Macaca fascicularis: one gene and its partner. The protein of the gene in region 1 purifies or fractionates together with the protein of each later gene. This does not show direct contact. Links are inferred from orthologs where the notes say so. Each region holds a gene or a part of one and is shown in the gene's direction. Other genes may lie near its edges.

Region 1 (9,621 bases):
GCGGGCATCGTAGATGTTCCTGGAAGGCTCTGCTCCAGACGGTGGGCACCTTAGACGTTCCTGGAAGGGGCTGCTCCCTCTAGCAGATGCCTGGGTCATAGGCGAGTCAGGGGAAGGCTCGGAGTTCCAGCTCAGAATTGTCGCCCCAGCCTGGATGTGGGGCACACCAGGGGCCCCAGCAGGAGCTCATGTGAGGCATATGGACCCACTAGATGGGCTCAGTGGTGGCAGGGGTTCCTTGGAGCCCCTGGCCAAGTAGCTGCCCAGAGCAGGCCTCAAAGCCTGCCCAAGGCGAGGGCCCATGGGGTGACGCCACGTCCCACTGTGTCTCTCCAGGAGCCGGGATGGTGGTGGACTGGGAGCAGGAGACCGGCCTCCTCATGAGCTCGGGGGACGTGCGGATCGTCCGGATCTGGGACACAGACCGTGAGATGAAGGTGCAGGTAACCATGCGGGTGTCCCCCAAGCCCCAGGCCTGTGGGGCAGTGTGTGCAGGGCTGGTCCTCATCACAGAGCCCAGCACAGTGTGCGGTGAGGCCTGGCCATCCCAGGGGCGGAGGCAGGGCCTGGAAGGACAGTGCCGGGCAATGCCGGGAGGAGACATGGGCTGCCTGAGGCCCGTGGATGCGGGTGAACCGCAGCGTTCAGCCCCGCACTAGTGTGGCTCAGCCTGTGCCAGCTCTGAGTGTTTTCAAGTAGGGTCTTCTCTCTGCAAGTTAAGGAATGTCAAAAATCAGTAGGGTGAGCCATTGTAAATTAGAATGATTATTTGTAGGGTTTTTGTTTTTTTTTGTTTTTTTGAGATGGGGTCTCACTCTGTCACCCTGCGTCACCCAGGCTGGAGTGCAGTGGTGCAGTCACAGCTCACTGCAGCCTCAACCTCCTGGTCCACGTGATCCTCCCATCTCACCCCCACAAGTAGCTGGAACTACAGGCATGCGCCCCCACGCCTGGCTAATTGTTTAAACTTTTTGTAGAGACGGGGGTCTCAGTATTTGCCCAGGCTGGTCTCGAATTCCTGGCTCCGGCAATCTTCCTGCCTGGGCCTCCCAAAGCACTGGGATTACAGGTGTGAGCCACTACAGAAGGCTTTTTGCTTCTTTTTTTGAGACGGAGTCTCACTCTGTCGCCCAGGCTGGAGTACAGTGGTGTGATCTCAGCTCACTGCAAGCTCCGCCTCCCGGGTTCATGCCATTCTCCTGCCTCAGCCTCCCAAGTAGCTGGGACTACAGGCGCCCACCAACACGCCCGGCTAATTTTTTTTGTATTTTTAGTAGAGATGGGGTTTCACGTGTTAGCCAGGATGGTTTCGATCTCCTAACCTCGTGATCCACCCACCTCAGCCTCCCAGAGTGCTGGGATTACAGGCGTGAGCCACTGCGCCTGGCCAGAAGCCTCTTTGCCTCTTAAAGCATGTTATTTTCAGTTTTGACAAAAAGCGGAGTACATTGGTTTTGCCCCAAACAGCCTGGAAAAGTGGTAGAGACCTCAGGAGGCCGCGCTCAGCAGAAATCTACCTGCATTGACTTCGTTCGGAGCAGAGGCGAGACCACAGATACTGTGAGGGACAGTGCCTGAGGTGGCTTTAGAGCCAGGATTCCCTTCCCCCGGCTCCCCAGGGAGAGGTGCGGAGCAGAGGCCGTCCCCAGCCTCTCTCCCAGGCCGTCTGGTGTCAGAAGGGGTGGCTCAGCCCTGCCGTAGAGGGTGGTGTGGTGCAGGCCCAGCAGAGGGGAGGCCTGGGCACCCTCAGCTGCTCAAAGCCACTGTGGTTGCTCTGGGCGGCAGCAGCCTGAGAACCTGGCCCAGGCCTCTCCCTGTGGGCAGCGTCTCCTCTGACCTGACCACGGATCCCACAAGGCACCAGCAGCTTTCATTCTTTGGGGTGGAAGGGTCTTGGGCCTGCCTGGAACTGTGGCTCCACACGAGATGTGGCCCTCAGGGCACAGCGTGGACACCCTGATCCCCAGGGTCTGGTCACCAGTTGGGTCTTAGAGGCCCGGGTGGCCTGCGGGGCAGGTGCTGTTCCTGCAGAGGTGCGTGGAGGCACAGAGCGCAGCAGGTGTTCCCAGAGCCACCTCTGCCCCTCGCAGGGGTCCGGCCCCATCGTCCCCACACCTGGGTTTCCTCCTGGAGTACACAACCCAGCACCATCCTTCATGCGTGGAAAGCACTCTCCCTCTCGTGGCCCTTTTCCTCCTGCGTCCCTGGCAGGTGCCATCGCCCCCCACCCCCACTTCTCCAGCACTTATAGTCCCCGAGGGAGCCAGGCGACCCCTCCTGGACTCATCCCCGTAGTTCATTAGAAGTTCTGAGAAGTAGCCAGTGAGGAGTCCTTGCCAAAATGTGCTTTGCTTTCCTTTTTAGGAAGCAGAGAGAGGTTGGAAGTTTAATTGGCACTGACAGCCAGTCCTTCCCAGAGGCGTTTGCAGGCCACCGCTCAGGGTGGGGCTGGGCTCTGCCTCACTGGCTCGGGGCCCAGGCGCCGAGGACTGTCCCTCCAAGGCCAACGGACAAGGGTGTGACTCAGTGCCCTGCCTCTCTCTGGGACTCCTGGGCTCCCCGGGCCTTTGATGCTTCCCTGGATAGAGAGAAAGGCCCCTGCAGCCAGGGAGGGGGATCCCCACAGCCAGGGAGGCAGCAAGAGGGGTCCTGGTGCTGCAGGACAGCAGGGAGGGCAGCTCAGTGCCCAGGTCTTCACCGGGCTGCCTGTGTTTGGCCCTAGGACATCCCCACGGGCGCAGACAGCTGCGTGACGAGCCTGTCCTGTGATTCCCACCGCTCACTCATCGTGGCTGGCCTCGGTGATGGCTCCATCCGTGTCTACGACAGAAGGATGGCACTCAGCGAATGGTACCTTGGCCCTGTCCTCTCCCTCCCCCAGTGGTGGCAGGGTACCTTCCAGGTGGTAGAGGCCGTGTCACTACCAGTTGGTTGGGTCCAGGTTTCTCAGTGAGATGCAAAGCTTCCCCAGGAGCCCACAATGGAGTATTTAGGCCAGTCCTGCTGGGCTCCCCAAAACCGCCAGGCCTGTCCCACCGAGGCCTATCCCACAGAGGTCCATCCCACAGCCTGTGGAGGAGCACGGGGTACTGGCCGTGTGGGATGAGCCAGTGGACTGGAGGCAGAGGCTATCGGGGTGAGGCGGGGGCCCCAGCCAGACACCTGCCACCTCTGAGCTCACCTGAACAGAATACCGCCACTGCCTGCCACCTCCTGGGTCACGCAGCAAGTGTCCAGGGAGGGATGTCTGAGGGCACACGCGTGGGCACAGCAGCCCCGGGCACTGCCTCCGCCGAGCACCCTGTGGGCAGGTGCTGTCCGGGCCTAGCAGGGGACAGTCTGCCTTGGCCCACATGGCTGATGCAGCAGAAGTAAATTTCACCCGGCACAGAGCGAGGATTCCCAGAAGGTCCTTGTGCCCCCAGCTTCATCAGCTTTAGATCTGGGATTCTCATTCCTAACCCTCCAGTCTGCACAGATCAGGCAGGCACAGTGAGGAGTTTTGAGGGAAGTAAAGCAAAGGGTGGGCAGGGCCTGGGAGCGCTGCAATGGCCGCCTGGCCCCCATCTCTGGGCAGCTCCCATGTGGCTCAGACAGTCCTCCAGCGGCCTGACGGTGACCTAGGGCCCAGCCCTGAGCCGGCCTGGGGAGGACACAGGGGGTCTCTGCTGGAGCAGGTCACCTGGAGGGGGCTCTGACCCTGCATGGGCACTAGCTCCTCCTGGGCAGCGGACGGGCGAGGGCCTGCGGACCCACTGGCACAGGCAGACGTGGGCAGTCCCCGGTGCGGACCCGCTGGCACAGGCAGACGTGGGCAGTCCCCGGTGCGGACCCGCTGGCACAGGCAGACCTGGGCAGCCCCCGGTGAGAGCCCGCTGGCACAGGCAGACGTGGGCAGTCCCTGGTGCGGACCCGCTGGCACAGGCAGACCTGGGCAGCCCCCGGTGAGAGCCCCGAAGGGTGGGGACATCCTTCGGGGAAGCCCACGCTGAGCGCCCCTCCCCTGCAGCCGCGTCATGACGTACCGCGAGCACACGGCCTGGGTGGTGAAGGCCTCTCTGCAGAAGCGCCCCGACGGCCACATCGTGAGCGTGAGGTGAGGAGCGCCGATGGTTAGCAGCCGCTCTGCTGTAAAAACATTATTTTCCCCCCTTTTAAAATATGTCCTTGGTATTTAAACAGCGGAAAGGGGATGGCATTTCGGGCGATAATTAACTCCTGCCCTGGAACTGGCCAGAAAGGTCCGGCACAGCCCCCAGGGGCCCGGGCGCGGCTGCTCCCCCTGCTGGGGGACACCTGACCTGCCGGCGCTGTGGGAACTTTCCTGGGCTGCCGCGCGGAGGGTCGGGGGGAGCTGGGCAGCGGCTCTCCCTCCACAGCAGGGGTGGCCGAGCGGCAGGGGCGGCGCATCCGCCAGGCATGTGGCAGTTGTCTGCACGTAAATTCAGTTCTGCGGCTTGGTGAATACAGCACCAAGAGCAGGGAATATTTATTTGCCTATTAAAGGGAGAGCAGAATGTAATTTATGAACACAAAGCCAGCATTTCTTCAAAGAGATGCTCTTTCCCCTCTTGTTTGTGATATAAAAACCAGACATAACTCTTGGGATGGACGCCTGCTAGGGTGGAAGGCAGGAGCCACGGGGCCTCAAAAGGGCCAGGCCATCCCTCAGGCCGCAGCCCGCCATCTAGGCTCTGTCTCCCGGGACTGCAGGCCCCTGTTGCATGAAATCTAATCTCTGGCTGGAAATGAAGCCAGTAGCTCACAGCCTCCTCCTGCGTCTGTGCTCGTGGCCGTTTCTCTAGGCGGGAAAGCTCCGGGCCTTTTCTGGCTCTGAGGGAGCTCGAGGGGCAGCCTTGACCCTGAGACCGGTGCGGGGGCGTGTCTGGGCCCGGCCTGGGCAGCCCTCACAGGGGCGCTGAGCATCCAGGCAGCCTTTTCCTTGAGCAGTGTGTGTGCAAACAGGCGTGCGACCCCCACACCCAGTTCCGCCGTCCCCCGGTTAGGCCCCTCCTGGGGGCTCCGGGTGGAGGTGTCACCGTGACCCTCTCTTGGCAGTGTCAATGGAGACGTGCGCATCTTTGATCCCCGGATGCCCGAGTCGGTGAATGTGCTTCAGATCGTGAAGGGGCTGACAGCCCTGGACATCCACCCCCAGGCGGACCTGATCGCATGGTAGGCGCCGCCTCCCTGGCCTCCGAGCTCCCTGCCTCCGGCCTCTGTGCAAACACGAGGCTCTTGTGTGCCTGCCCCACAGGAGCTGAAGGAGGGCAGGGGAGGATTTCACTGCTGTTGGGACATAAAAACAAAAGATCTCTGCCCACCACATCCTCCTCCCAGGATCAACTCTCAGGGCCCTGCCAGGCCCGAGTCCTCAGTGAGAGTGACCAGAGGGTCACACCTGCCCCGAGCCGGCCTGTCCCTGCAGTCTCAGCCTGTGCACCTGTCTTTCTTCCATCCTCAGAGGAGAGGGCAGTGACACTGGGACCCTTTCTCTCCCCACAGTGGCTCCGTCAATCAGTTCACTGCCATCTACAATGGGGGCGGCGAGCTGATCAACAACATCAAGTACTACGACGGCTTCATGGGTCAGCGGGTCGGCGCCATCAGCTGCCTGGCCTTCCACCCACACTGGGTCAGTGCAGCGGTGGGTGGGGGCTGGGGGCCGGGGGCCGGGGGCCAGGGGCGAGGGATGGGAGGCAAGGGGGCCAGACAGCAGGGGTCCTGCCTGGGCACCCCACACCACAGTGGGGTCCACTGGCCACCTGAAGAAGAGACTTGCCCGGGGCCCAGAATCTCCAGGGCCCCTGACCCACCCTATACTCGCCCTGGAAGCAGAGCTCCAGTCACGTCACTCTGGGAAGAATTGACGGCGCATGCACAGTGGTCGGGCAGAGCTCCTGCCCTCAGACCCTGCACTAAAGCCATCCCTGGGGACCTCCAGGCAGAGTCGCTCAGGGTGTCCATTCCTGTGCAGCCTTCACCCCGTCCCCTGTGCAACCCTCACCCCGTCCCCTCTGCAGGCCTCACCCCGTCCCCTGTGCGACCCTCACCCCGTCCCCTGTGCGACCCTCACCCCGTCCCCTCTGCGACCCTCACCCCGTCCCCTGTGCAACCCTCACCCCGTCCCCTGTGCAACCCTCACCCCGTCCCCTCTGCAGCCCTCACCCCGTCCCCTGTGCGGCCCTCACCCCGTCCCCTGTGCGGCCCTCACCCCGTCCCCTGTGCGACCCTCACCCCGTCCCCTCTGCAGCCCTCACCCCGTCCCCTCTGCGACCCTCACCCCGTCCCCTCTGCGGCCCTCACCCCGTCCCCTCTGCGACCCTCACCCCGTCCCCTCTGCGGCCCTCACCCCGTCCCCTCTGCGGCCCTCACCCCGTCACCTCTGCGGCCCTCACCCCATCCCCTCTGTGACCCTCACCCCGTCCCCTCTGCGACCCTCACCCCGTCCCCTGTGCAGCCCTCACCCCCATCCCCTGTGTGACCAAGTCCTTACCCCGTCCCCTGTGCAGCTGGGCCCCACCTGCACGGCTCTCTGGCCTTGGTTGCAGCCTCCCCACGTGGCTTCAGGCCATTGTCTTTAGATTAGGATCCTGCCCACCTGCCTTCTTGCGTTCATGCCTTCAGGCTTCAGGCATGCAGCTCTGCTAACGTGTGACATTAGATCCCAGAGCTGTCCCTGAGGGGCAGTGCTGAAAAAAACACGCAGGGCCCGGGGGCAGCACCACACCTCTCACGGAGTGCACCATGCATGGGCCCTGCAGAGAGGACTGGTGGGGACCGGCCCAGCATTTCCGGGCCTGAGGTGGGCGCAGGGATTCCTGAGACCCCGGCAGGAGCTGCCTAAGGATGCGGGTTGGCCCGCACGCCGCCCCCCGCCCGCAGTGTCCGCACCTGAACCCCTGCTTACCCTTCTGCTCTCTCCTTGCAGCCTCACCTGGCCGTGGGAAGCAACGACTACTACATCTCCGTGTACTCGGTGGAGAAGCGCGTCAGATAGCGGCGCGACCCGGCCCGCCAGGCCACGGCCGCCTGCTGTACATAGTGAAGCTGCCACTTGCCGGGGCGCGGGGTGTCGGCTGCTGCGGCCCCGCGGTGTGAACGTTGGCTGCTGCCTTAGCTGCTGATGACGGCAGGAGGGCCCTGCTACTCGCTTTTGTCTGTCTTCGCTGTCGTGTCCGGAACGTCAGGGACGGGGAGGGCTTAGGTTGACGGTGGCTTCCCACTGAGCACCAGCATCCAGGTGCACCCCCGCGGCCGCAGCGGTCTGTCCCTCTCCTGTTCTGTGTTTCTCTGAGACGTTGAAAGGGGAAACACCTCATTTTATTTCCATGTAATCAGAGCATTAGCTGCAGCAAAACCCCCAGACAGCCCTGGAGGAGAGGCAGGCGCTGGGGCTCCTGCGGGTCCCTGGAGCAGCCGTCCCCATCAGGCCAAGAGCGAGCGAGAGGTGCTGCCCCAGCCAGGCCCACCGCCTCTCACAGTCAGTGCACGCAAGCAGGGACATTTCCTAGCCGGCTGGGGCACACTGGAAATTCGGGAAACCAAGAGAAAGGAAGAAGGAGACGCCCCTCTAGCTGGTGGTATGAAGAAAGCCGCCCAGGGGGCCGGGCTGTCCTTGGCCGCTGGCCGCATCACTGAACGGGAGGAGCGCAGCGCCTCCTCCACAGCCCACCCTCCCTGCACCTCCAGGTCTCTAGACTCTAGTTTTGGCCCCTCATGCAGAGCTGTCAGCAGGGGCCTCTGTGGCCGCGCACCGAAGAGGCAGGTCCTTGGCAGTGTAGCCCCTGCCTTAGTCCACAGGGCTCCTTTCCCTCCGAAGGGCTGCTCTTCCCCACACGCGCAGGGGCGGCGACCCGGCCTGTGGTCTCCGTGCCTGTGCCCACACACGGGTGTAGCACACGCATGTGCGGGCACCACGGCTGGCACCCTGGGGGCACACATGCAGGCGGCGTGGTCTCCCTGCTCTGTCCGCACACGTTCATCACACACAGGTGAGAGGCACTGCCGGGTCCTAGACGGCTCTGGGTGACACCAGCCCCATCTCCAGCCCTGAGTCGCCCATGCTGATGCGACCTTGGCTTGCAGCTGGGCCTGTGGTGCAGACAGGAGCTGTGTGGACAGTCCCGCCCAGGAGGGGCCTCAGGGCAGTTTTGCAAACAGAACACAACCACAATGATGGTATTTTGAAAAGCATTTTTTCCATGTTCGTCGGGAATCAGGATTATTGAGAGGTGGAGGAGCCAAGTGGCTTCATTGCGGCAGTAAGAGGCCCACAACCACGGGAGTGAGAGCGGGCACGGCGAGGCCCGGCTCCCCTGTGGTGTGACTGGCATCCTGCCGTGGCCAAGAGCATCTTCTGGGTGGATGGAACCCTGCCTAGCTGCGTTTGGTCAGAGAAACACGTGGTCTTCAGGGGGCTGAGCTGGAGTCTGAGCTGGGGCTGGCCGGGACATGACAAGGTGGGACAGAGGCGGCCCCTCCGCTGCTCTTTTTTGAAATGTGAGCTCCCACCAGAAGAAGGTTCCGGCACGAATCCCATCCCCACGTCTGGGCCGAGCGAGCAGACCAGGTCCAGAAGGTGTAGAGGGCCCCAACCCCCACAAGTCCCGGCCTCACTCAGCTCACAGGGCATGCCAGGCGGCAACACCAGAATCTTCCAGAAGCCCAGCTCCACCCGCACACACAGCTTCCCGTCCAGTCCTTCAACTCGATTCTTACCTAACACGCGTTTCTGTTTGTTTTGAGACAAAACCACCACCTGTCAAAAGGCAGGTGGCTCCAGAGGGGACAAGACCCTCCTGCGCCCACTCCGCCCTGGAGCCGCCCCCGCGGGCTCCGCGTGCCACCTGCACGTGGGCTGTCTTCACAGGTCCGATGCGGAAATTCAATCACGACGTCAACCAGGGCTCGAGAGAGCGCCGGCCTAAAGGCTCCTTATCTCTATTTATTTTACCAAATGCGAATTGAGAAAGACTTTGACAAAACACAAAATGGCAATGTGAAGCTAAGAGCAGGACAAACAGTAAACAACACGCGCAGACTCTGGCTGGCGGCTGTGTCTTTACACAAACTGCCCACCCCCACCGCAGGGGTCGTAGGTCAGAGGAGGGGTGGGGGGACCTTGCCCGGGTCCCCCTGCTGTCCCCAGGGCCACCAGCAGCTCTGCGTCCTGGGCACTCTCCAGGCAGGCACCACGGCCATAGGGAGCCTGGCATGTTCAGGGGTGTGCAAAGGTCTCGGTCCTCATCTCCCGGGCAGCAATGCTCCTCCCAGGCAGTGCCCCCAGCCTGTGGCACAGACCCCACGTCGGGGAGCGCGCTCTGTGGTGAGAGCTGTGCTGTGACGTAGGCCGGACACATTTCTTTCTTTTTTTTTTTTTTTTTTTTTTTGAGACAGAGTCTCGCTCTCTCGCCCAGGCTGGAGTGCGGTGGCGCGTTCTCGGCTCACTGCAAGCTCCGCCTCCCGGGTTCACGCCATTCTCCTGCTTCAGCCTGGCAAGCAGCTGGGACTACGGGTGCCCGCCACCACGCCCAGCTAATTTTTTGTATTTTTTTTTTTAGTAGAGACAGGGTTTCACCGTGTTAGCCAGGATGGTCTCGATCTCCTGACCTCGTGATC
Region 2 (10,244 bases), on another chromosome or scaffold:
CCAGCTACTCAGGAGGAGTCTGAGGCAGGAGAATCGCTTGAACCCAGGAGGCAGAGATTGCACCACTGCAGTCCAGCCCTGTCAGCAGTGTGAGACTCCATCTGAAAAACAAAACAAAACAAAAAAAAGAGAACATGTCTCCTCTGGCCAGAGTACAGGATGCATGGAGTATTAGTCCATTTTCATACTGCAATAAAGAACATCTGAGACTGGATAATTTATAAAGGAAAGAGGTTTATTTGACTCACAGTTCAGCATGGCTGGGGAGGCCTCAGGAAACTTACAATCATGGCGGAAGGCGAAGGGGAAGCAAGGCACCCATTCTCTGTAAGGCGGCAGGAAGAAGTGGAGCAAAGGAGGAGGAACCCCTTATAAAACCATCAGATCTGGCCGGGCGCGGTGGCTCAAGCCTGTAATCCCAGCACTTTGGGAGGCCGAGACGGGCAGATCACGAGGTCAGGAGATCGAGACCATCCTGGCTAACACCGTGAAACCCCGTCTCTACTAAAAATACAAAAAAACTAGCCGGGCGAGGTGGCGGGCGCCTGTAGTCCCAGCTACTCCGGAGGCTGAGGCAGGAGAATGGCCTAAACCCGGGAGGCGGAGCTTGCAGTGAGCTGAGATCTGGCCACTGCACTCCAGCCCGGGCTACAGAGCAAGACTCCGTCTCAAAAAAAAAAAAAAAAAAAAAAAAAAAAACCAAAAACCATCAGATCTCTTGAGCACTCACTCACTATCATGAGAACTGCATGGGGCAGCCCGCCCTCCTGATTCAGTTACCTCCACCTGGTCCGTCCCTTGACACACGGGGATTATGTGGATTACAATTCAAGACGAGATTTGGGCGGGGACACAAAGCCTAACTATATCACATGGAGAGGAGATGGAAGCCACAGGGTGGGCCAGGGCCAGGCCCAGGAGTCTGGAGAGGGACAGGGACCCCTGACGGCTTCTAATGGGGTGATCACGTCATTCCTAGGTTTTGCTGTGGGTTTTTGTTTTGTTGTGTTTTGAGAAAAGGTCTTGCTCTGTCACCCAGGCTGGAGTGCAGTGGCGCAACCACAGCTCACTGCAGCCTCCAGTTCCTGGTCTCGAGTGAACCTTCCACCTCAGCCTCCCAAGTAGCTGGGACCACAGGCATGCACCACCATTCCTGGCTTTTTTTTTTTTTTTTTTTTTTGAGACGGAGTCTCGCTCTGTCGCCCAGGCTGGAGTGCAGTGGCCGGATCTCAGCTCACTGCAAGCTCTGCCTTTGACCTCGTGATCCACCCGTCTCGGCCTCCCAAAGTGCTGGGATTACAGGCTTGAGCCACCACGCCTAGCCCATTCCTGGCTAATTTTTAAATTTTTTGTAGAGATGGGGTCTCACTGTATTGTCCAGGATGGACTTGAACTCCTGGGCTCAAGTGATCCTCCTGCCTCAGCCTTCCAAAGTACTGGGATTACAGGCATGAATCACTGTGCTGGGCTCAGGCTCAAGTACTGGGATTACAGGCATGAATCACTGTGCTGAGGGGTTTTTGTTTGTTTGTTTGTTCTGAGATGGAGTATGGCTCTGTTGCCCGGTCTGGAATGCAGTGGCACCATCTCGGCTCACTGCAAGCTCTGCCTCCCGGGTTCACGCCATTCTCCTGCCTCAGCCTCCCAAGTAGCTGGGACTACAGGTGCCCACCACCATGCCTGTCTAATTTTTTGTATTTTTAGTAGAGTCGGGGTTTCACCATGTTAGCCAGGATGGTCTTGATCTCCTGACCTCGTGATCCGCCTGTCTTGGCCTCCCAAAGTGCTAGGATTACAGGTGTGAGCCAATGCACCTAGCCCAGACTGAGGTTTTTAAAAGGCCATTCTGGCCGGGCGCGGTGGCTCACACCTGTAAACCTAGCACTTTGGGAGGCTGAGGCAGGTGGATCACTTGAGGTCGGGAGTTCAAGACCAGCCTGACCAACATGAAGAAATCTTGTCTCTACTAAAAATACAAAATTAGCCGGGGTGGTGGCGCATGCCTGTAATCCCAGCTACTTGGAAGACTGAGGAACCCGGGAGGGGGAGGTTGCGGTGAGACGAGATCACGCCACTGCACTCCAGCCTGGGCAACAAGAGTGAAACTCCATCTAAAAAATAAATAAATAAATAAATGGCCATTCTGCACTGTGGAGGACAGTCTGGAAGGGGGCCAGAGTGGTTAGGGCAAGGAAGGAGGCTGTTATGAGGGATGGCTGGTGAGCTAGAGCCAGGGCAGGGGAAAGGACAGGAAGATATGTCACAGGTAAAATCGGTGGGCGGTGGGGGGGGGAGGAAGGGAAGCGCAGGGCAGGGCAAGACAGGACAGGGCGAGGAAGGGGAGGTGTCGGATCTTGCCCAGCGGCAATACAAGGTGAGCACTGCCCACAGAAGGGGAGCTACTCAGGGATGAGTTGTCTCCGCCATGGAATGTGGTGGACCCTGCGGGGCATTCAAAGGACAGTGTCTAATAGGGAGCTGAGGCCATTACAGCTGGAGACAGAGTGGAAGGGGCCCAGCACAGGGACAGCATTGGAAGCTCCAGAGCTAGTAGTCGCCAGCCCCCCAGTATCTCGTGGGGTGCAGAGAGTGAACTCTGGAGAGCCCCAGTCTTTGGAGGGAGGCAGGGAAAGAGACTAAATTCCGAGAAAGGAGCTAGGAGAAGGCAGCCTTTCAGGCATGGTGATGTCAACCATGGCACAGATGCGTCAAGAAGTGGGAGGGGGCCGGGCACAGTGGCTCACGCCTGTAATCCCAGCACTTTGGGAGGCTGGGGGGGGTGCAGATCACAAGGTCAGGAGATCAAGACCATCCACCATCCTGGCCAACATGGTGAAACCCTGTCTCTACTAAAAATACAAAAATTAACTGGGCGTGGTGACACACACCTGTAATCCGAGCTACCTGGGAGGCTGAGGCAGGAGAATGGCTTGAACCTGGGAGGCGGAGACTGTGGAAAGTCGAGATGGCACCACTGCACTCCAGGCTGGCAACAAAGCAAGACTCTGTCTCAAAAAAAAAAAAAAAAAAAAAAAAGAAGTGGGAGGCTGGGCGCAGTGGCTCATGCCTGTAATCCCAGCACTTTGGGAGGCTGAGGTGGGCGGATCACTTGAGGTCAGGAGTTTGAGACCAGCCTTGCCAACATGGTGAAATCCCATCTCTGCTAAAAATACAAAAATCAGCCAGGTGTGGTGGCGCACGCCTATCATCCCAGGTACTCAGGAGGCTGACGCAGGAGAATCCCTTGAACCTGGGAGGTAGAGGTTTTGCAGTGAGTCAAGATTGCACCACTGCACCCCAGCCTGGGTGAGAAAGGGAGATTGCGACTCAAAAAAACAAAACAAAACAAAACAAAAAAAACGGGTGGGAGGAAGGAAGGAAAAGTATCCACTGGATTTAGCAAAGTGAGATTGTCAGTGGCCTTGAGGAATTTCCACTGGAGACCTAGAGAGCTGGGGTAAAAGGCAGATGACTGGGGTTGCAGAATGAGTGGGAGGTGAGGACGTGGTCTAACGGTGAGGACCGCTCTTTAACGAAGAGAGTCTGGGATTGTTTTATAGTGTTTAAAGGCTAAGGGGCAGGAAGGAGAGGAGGTGAAGGTATAGGAAGGAAGGCTCCTGGGAACTATGGCCTGGTCAAGGGACAAGAGGCACCCCCTCTGTGGCCAGAGGAAGGGGTGCAGTCACATCTGTAAGAGCAGTGGGAAAAAACCATGCGAGAGCCAGTCTCAAGGGTGAGGGCACCAGCGTGGAGCGCACAGAGCTGGAATGAGGGCCTGTGGTTTTGAGGGGGACCCTGGGCTCAGTGGGATGTCCCAAGGGTCAGGCTGGGGCTGGGGTACCAGATCTAGTGAGTACAACTACAGGATGCCCAGCAAAATTTTTTTTAGCATAAGTATTTCCCATGCAACGTCCGGGATATACTTACACTAAAAAAAAAAAAATTATTCGTTGTCTGAACTCAAGTCCTGTAATTTTCAGCCAATTCTAGCCCAGCGTGGCGCATTAGTGGGTCAGGGAGGGCACGGGAACGGCGCGACCCGACAGCCTGGGAAACGGACAGCCGTGTCAGAAGGGAAGGTGCCAGTGGGGAGGAGGCCAGAGAGAAAGCCGCAGCTTCCTTCCACCTCGCGCCGGGCCCGCGGCAACGCAAGGAACCTCTCCGGGTTCCTCCCGGCGGGAACCCCCTGCCCCAGAACTTTGGTCTCGTCCCATCCACCCCCGCCCGCGCCATGGTCTCGCCCTAGGGAGTTATCGATAACTCTACGCTCGACCTCGATCGACTCGCTCCCGCTCCCCTTGCCGTCCTGGACACAGCGGAGTGCGGAGTCGCCCGTAAGGTACGAGGCCGCGAGCCAGGGGCCGGGAACCGGCTGCTGGGTGGCTGGGAGAGTACGGCTAGGGGAAGCCGGCCAGCAGGACGGAGAAAGGGCGGTCGGCGGAGGACAGGGGAGCTCGGGGGTCCAGCCAGACTGCGCCCCTTCCCATCACGGCCCGCCGCCGGCCTGCTACGCATGCGCAGCCGCAGGGCTCGGCTTTCCCCGGCCCACCCGCCGCCTTGCGCACGCGCAGCCCGCCCCTGCGGCAGAGTGGCGCCCGCGCGTGACTGCCCCCTGTCGGCTGCGGGGGGGACGGCGCCCCCGCCGGGTGCGTGGGGCGGGGATGGAGCACGCGCCCTGGAGCCCCGGAGCCGCCCGGAGCCGGGTGTCACGCGTGTGACGCGTGTCCCTGAACCTACCTCCGCTTGTTGTCCCAACTCTAAATTGGGAATGATAAGCGCCATTCGGCAGCGCCCCGTGGGTCTGTAATCTGTTTAGCACAGTGTGTCCTCTAAGTACTTTACATCCTTCTCTGCAGATGCCCTGACCTTTGACCCCTGCTATTCAGCTCTAGGGCCCGTGCAGGCCACACCATGAACACGTCCCCAGGCACGGTGGGCAGTGACCCGGTCATCCTGGCCACTGCAGGCTACGACCACACCGTGCGCTTCTGGCAGGCCCACAGCGGCATCTGCACCCGGACTGTGCAGCACCAGGACTCCGTATCCTCCACCTGGGGCGGGCAGGGCGGCGCTGGAGGGATGCCTCATGTGGGGACCACAGCCTGGGTGAAGGCCAGATGGTGAAGGCCTGGGGGCCCCTGTCCTCAGGGCTGCCTTCCCATCATCCTCCTTAACAGTCCCAGCAGGTGAATGCCTTGGAGATCACACCAGACCGCAGTATGATTGCTGCTGCAGGTATCTGTGACCCTTGATCTCTAACCCCTGACCTCTGGTGGGTCGACCTGAGCACAACCAAGCTTCATTTCAGCCTGTGTCCCTAGGTTACCAGCACATCCGCATGTATGATCTCAACTCCAATAACCCCAACCCCATCATCAGCTATGATGGCGTCAACAAGAACATCGCGTCTGTGGGCTTCCACGAAGACGGCCGCTGGATGTACACGGGCGGCGAGGACTGCACAGCCAGGATCTGGGACCTCAGGTGCGGTGGGGAGGGGCCTGCTGCCTGGGGCTGGGCTGGGCTGGGCTGCTCTGAGAGACCATTTTAGGTTGGGTTCTCTCCAAGCAGAGGCTGAAATAGGGAGCTTCCTGTGGGCGACTCAGTGAGAGAAGTGAGGACAGGAGGAGAGTGAATTGCATCAAAGCGCGAGTCCTGCCTTGAGCCCGGAGCTAGCGTGTTATTCCCCTTCCACCAGCCACTGGCTTAGGCTCCCTGCTGGAGTGGAGGGCCCTGCGTCTCGAGTATTTCCCAAGAGGCAGGTCCTTTAGCAGAGGGAGGGGAGGAGTGGCCAGGCTAAGGCCATCTGGGTAGGGCACCAACAAGCCCAGATGGACAGCATGTGCCCTGGCCCGGTCCACAGGTCCCGGAACCTGCAGTGCCAGCGGATCTTCCAGGTGAACGCACCCATTAACTGCGTGTGCCTGCACCCCAACCAGGTGAGGGGTGCTCATGGGGCCAGGCACTCTGGGACTTTGGAGGGCTGGGCTTGGGTCCTGCCTCACCACCCCTGCACCCCAGGCAGAGCTCATCGTGGGTGACCAGAGCGGGGCTATCCACATCTGGGACTTGAAAACAGACCACAACGAGCAGCTGATCCCCGAGCCCGAGGTCTCCATCACGTCTGCCCACATTGACCCCGACGCCAGCTACATGGCAGCTGTCAATAGCGCTGTGAGTCCTGGAGGCAGGTGCTGGGTGGGGCCAGCTTGGCACTCAGCCCTTAGCCTCTGCAGGTGGGCTTATTCCTGGATGTCCCTTAGTGCCCCCCTCCTGCTTCCCCATCCTAGGCACTAACACCCACCCTGCCAGCAAAGCCAGAAGCGTGAATGTCGCTCCCAATGCCTTGGCCCTGTCTGCAGGCCGGTCGCTCCGCTTTCTGGAGTCTCTCCCAAGTCGGTCCACTTCCCTCTTTTCTCTCTGTTGCCTCCTGGTCCCAGTCACCCTCATTTCCCATGACAGCTGACACACTCTCTGAGGCCTCCTTTCCTCCTCCCTGACCTCCCCCGGCCCCTGACCCGTTCTCTCTTGGATGCTTCTAGTGGTGCCTCGTCAGTACCAGCCAGGTGGCATCATTCCCCTGGGGAGACCCAGGGCTACTGGCCTTGCCCTTAGGCTGCCGTGGTGTGGCCCCTGTTCTTCTCTCCAACCTCATTTTTTTCCGTTAACTCCATTTAATCCCAGCGTGTCACTTGTCCCTCTTGCCCCCGGATTTCCTTTCTCCTGGCCTTTGTCATGTTGTCTCTCTAGCTGGTGCCCTCTCCCGTGTACTTCCATTGGCCATCGGCATCCTCCAGGAAGGGGAATTTGAGTCTTTGGCCAGGTGTGGCCTCCTGTTCTTGGCTTGCCATGTGTGGCCCTTGGTTAGGGCCAGGCTACCCAGGTGCCTTCTGCAGGCAGGACCAGAGGGGCCTGTCCGCCCCGACCCAGGGTCCCCATGCACAGTTGAACCCCAGTGTTGGCCCCCAGGGCATCCTTCCCTGTGTCTCAGACCTGAGGCCTCGGGTCCCCTGTGACGGTCCTCCTGACCTCTAGGGAAACTGCTATGTCTGGAATCTGACGGGGGGCATTGGTGACGAGGTAACTCAGCTCATCCCCAAGACCAAGATCCCCGCCCACACGCGCTACGCCCTGCAGTGCCGCTTCAGCCCCGACTCCACGTGCGTGCAGGGCCTGCTGGCCCGAGAGGGGACCTGCCTGGGCTGTGGGCTGGAGACGGGAGGGGCTGCTGGGTGGAGTGGCTGCTGCTGGACACGCCCCCACGCCCATACCCCAGGCTCCTCGCCACCTGCTCGGCTGATCAGACGTGCAAGATCTGGAGGACGTCCAACTTCTCCCTGATGACGGAGCTGAGCATCAAGAGCGGCAACCCCGGGGAGTCCTCCCGTGGTTGGATGTGGGGCTGTGCTTTCTCGGGGGACTCCCAGTACATCGTCACTGGTGAGCCCCGCCCAGCCTCCCCATCCCTGGCCTCCCAGCGCTGGCCTCCAGAGCCAGCCCACCTTGGCTGCGGCTCCCCCTCTGCTAGGGCCACCTGCCTGGCCTGCACCTCTGCTCTGAGCCCTGCCCAATCTCCCCCTCCAGCTTCCTCGGACAACCTGGCCCGGCTCTGGTGTGTGGAGACTGGAGAGATCAAGAGAGAGTATGGCGGCCACCAGAAGGCTGTCGTCTGCCTGGCGTTCAACGACAGTGTGCTGGGCTAGCCTGTGACCCCTCAGGACTGCCTGGTGTAGGTGGTGGCAGCTGGAGGGTCCCATGCAGCACCCAGGTCAGAACAGGCCCTACTGCCGGCCTACACCAGCTGGACCTGATGGCCCCCTGTGGCACTTTGACCTGCTGGGCCAGGCCGCCCTGGGACTCTCAGCCCCCAGTTGCTTATCCAGATGTGACAGCTCGACCCAAGCCAGGCTGCACACTCCTGGACTAGGCTAGCCTGCACTGCCTGGGAGTCAGCCAAGGGCCCAAAGCTGCTGAGGGGTGTGAGGCTGGTGCCCACCCCTAAGCTAGTGTGTTTCCTGTCCCCTCCCTGCCGCGTTTCAGGGCCTTAGTCCACAGAGAACACCACCGTGGCCAGGTGGAAGGGTTTATTAGTCCCTGCCGGCAGCTATCCTCCCTGGTGCGGGTGACCTGGCCAGCCCGCTGGATTGGGGACAGGGACCGGGCTGGGCCAGGTCGGGGCTCAGTCTGGGAGGTAATAAAAGCAGACTGACACACAGATGTTGCTTGGGAAGCAGATGTCGATGCACAGATAAATCAGCCGCTGTCTCCGGGGCCCTGTGGTGAGAGTGCCGTGAATCCCCAAGGGCTCCGCCCCCAGCTCATCAAACCATCCCGAGGGCCTGGCCTCCCCCCACAGTGGCCCTGACTCACCCTCTGCTCGCCGGGCCCAGTAGATGGGGGTCCTTGTGCACAGGCGCTGCACCAAATCCCCCACCTGGGCAGGGTCCACCTCGTGGCTCCCCTGCACTGCCAGCAGCTCCTGGGTGTGTTGGGTGTCCTGGGCAGGGCCCCGAGGCTCTTGGACCTGTTGAGAAGGCTCTGGTGGGCTGTGGGACAGGGCTGCTCCCTACTCCTGGCTGGGCGGGGCTGGATACCCCCCAACCCCCAGTGATGTCCCCACCCTCTGCTCTTGTCAGCAGCCTGGGCTCAGGGTGGAGAGAGCTTCCTGTTCCCTGAAACCAGAGCTCCAGCCTATCCTGTGCCCAGCTGCACACAGGACCCTTTGTCTAGCCCCTGGTGGGGGGCTGTGCCCAGCAGGATGGCTCACCTTGGAGGTATCCATCAGCAGCCGCAGGGTCTCCCGATCACTGTCCTCCATCAGGCGGAGGAAGCAGGCCTGGTGCTCCTCGGGGCGGTAACAGATGCAGCCCTGGGGAGGCAGGGAGGTGAGGCAGGGCCACCCCGACCGACACCTGCAAGGGTGACGTGACCCCTCCCTGCCCACTCACGCTCTGCCCGTCGAACAGCACCACCCAGCTGTGGTTGCTCTGAGGTGAGGTCACTGTGATGGTCGCTGCGTTCCGGGCCACGTCCACCAGGATGGTTTGGTTGGGCCGGGGCATGTGGGGGCTTGGGAGGGTCATTCGTAGCGTCTGCAGCCTTGGCTGGCAGTGGGAGTTGGAGTTCAGCTGGGCAGCTGGACAACCCCAGCACAGCCGCCAGCTCTGGGCTGCAGGACTCCTGACATCCCCGAGTGGGCCCTTCCACCTCTGGCCGTCTGCTCCTAGGCGGTCACTGCCTGCTCTGCACCCTGGCTCTGCTGGAGGCTGGGATGTGCCAGCTTCCCTTTCCCCTTTTCACTGTCCACATCCCTGGTGCTGAGGAGGGGCTCACCTTGGGAGGGCCCTGAGCGAAGCCAAGAAGCCCTCCAGCCACAGCTCCCGCAGTGGCCAGTGCCAGGAGCAGCAGCAGCAGGGATAGGCCCGTGGCTCTCCAGCCCCCACAGGTGGGCTTGGTCTTCACCTGGGGGCGCATTAGGGTCAGAAGGGTCATGGGGTTTAGAGATCAGGGAGCCAGTGGGCTGGGGAAGGGAGGGGCTGGGTGGCCAGGGGCACCCCCTGGGTCCTTGCTGCAGGAGTGATGGGAGGCACTCACCCCTGTAGGCCCAGGTTTGGGGCGCTCAGCGCGGCAGTTCGCTGGCTTCATCCTGCAGCCCCTGCTCACAATGTGCCGATTGTCTGCGCCCCTTGTCTGCAGCCTTGGCCGGGGAAACTCAGAACGCCTCCCCTCCTAACCCCGCGCCTCTCCCTCAGCTCCGGATCTGATATCCAGGTCAGAGCCAGGACAGTCCCCTCCTCCCACCTGGGGGATGCCTGTCACCAGGCCCGGCTCCAGACACCTGGCCTGTGCAGACTGGAGATCAGGGTCTGGGAGGCATAGGGCTGGGCTGAGTAGAAATCCAGTCCAGCTGACCGACTGGAGGGCAGTCCAGGCCTGGCCAGGGCGACTCACTAAGTGTGGTTGGGGTGGATTTCGTTTTCCTAAAGTGGCCTGAGTCTCTCAGGTTACCCTTGACTCCCAGAGCTGGGCACAGGGCCTGACACACCACAAGCTGTCAATAAATGCCTGCTCAGTAAATGACAGGTGTGGGACTATGCACCCCCAGCCACTTCCCAGTCCCCACACACCCAAGTCCAGGGGGTTCCTGAAGGCTGGACCACAGATAGGCAGCCTGCTGTGCCTGTGCCCCCAGAATAGTCAGGCCAGCCTCGGGGGCCCGCCCAGCACCTTTTTTTTTGAGATGG

What was found. Proteins that work in one complex are often made in the same cells at the same time.
Region 2: the proteins of RPTOR (region 1) and MLST8 purify together in Homo sapiens (affinity purification with western blotting; 15 studies listed by BioGRID and IntAct, with this or other methods). This does not show direct contact. The link is inferred for Macaca fascicularis from reciprocal best matches to the Homo sapiens genes RPTOR and MLST8.

What each region holds. Positions count from the first base shown.
Region 1 is NC_088390.1:87,373,483-87,383,103, forward strand, and holds the end of RPTOR (regulatory-associated protein of mTOR), read left to right. Parts: intron 1-336; coding exon 337-443; intron 444-2,722; coding exon 2,723-2,850; intron 2,851-4,009; coding exon 4,010-4,096; intron 4,097-5,058; coding exon 5,059-5,175; intron 5,176-5,505; coding exon 5,506-5,635; intron 5,636-6,931; coding exon 6,932-7,000; 3' UTR 7,001-9,043; downstream 9,044-9,621. UniProt on the Homo sapiens protein: Component of the mechanistic target of rapamycin complex 1 (mTORC1), an evolutionarily conserved central nutrient sensor that stimulates anabolic reactions and macromolecule biosynthesis to promote cellular biomass generation and growth.
Region 2 is NC_088394.1:2,971,326-2,981,569, forward strand, and holds MLST8 (target of rapamycin complex subunit LST8), read left to right. Parts: upstream 1-4,280; 5' UTR 4,281-4,339; intron 4,340-4,677; exon of another isoform or gene 4,678-4,799; intron 4,800-4,856; exon of another isoform or gene 4,857-4,886; 5' UTR 4,887-4,911; coding exon 4,912-5,040; intron 5,041-5,183; coding exon 5,184-5,235; intron 5,236-5,321; coding exon 5,322-5,484; intron 5,485-5,863; coding exon 5,864-5,939; intron 5,940-6,021; coding exon 6,022-6,174; intron 6,175-7,035; coding exon 7,036-7,160; intron 7,161-7,276; coding exon 7,277-7,440; intron 7,441-7,584; coding exon 7,585-7,703; 3' UTR 7,704-8,179; downstream 8,180-10,244. Other genes in the region: BRICD5 (BRICHOS domain-containing protein 5), read right to left, coding at 8,180-8,524, 8,768-8,869, 8,949-9,104, 9,334-9,462, 9,595-9,645.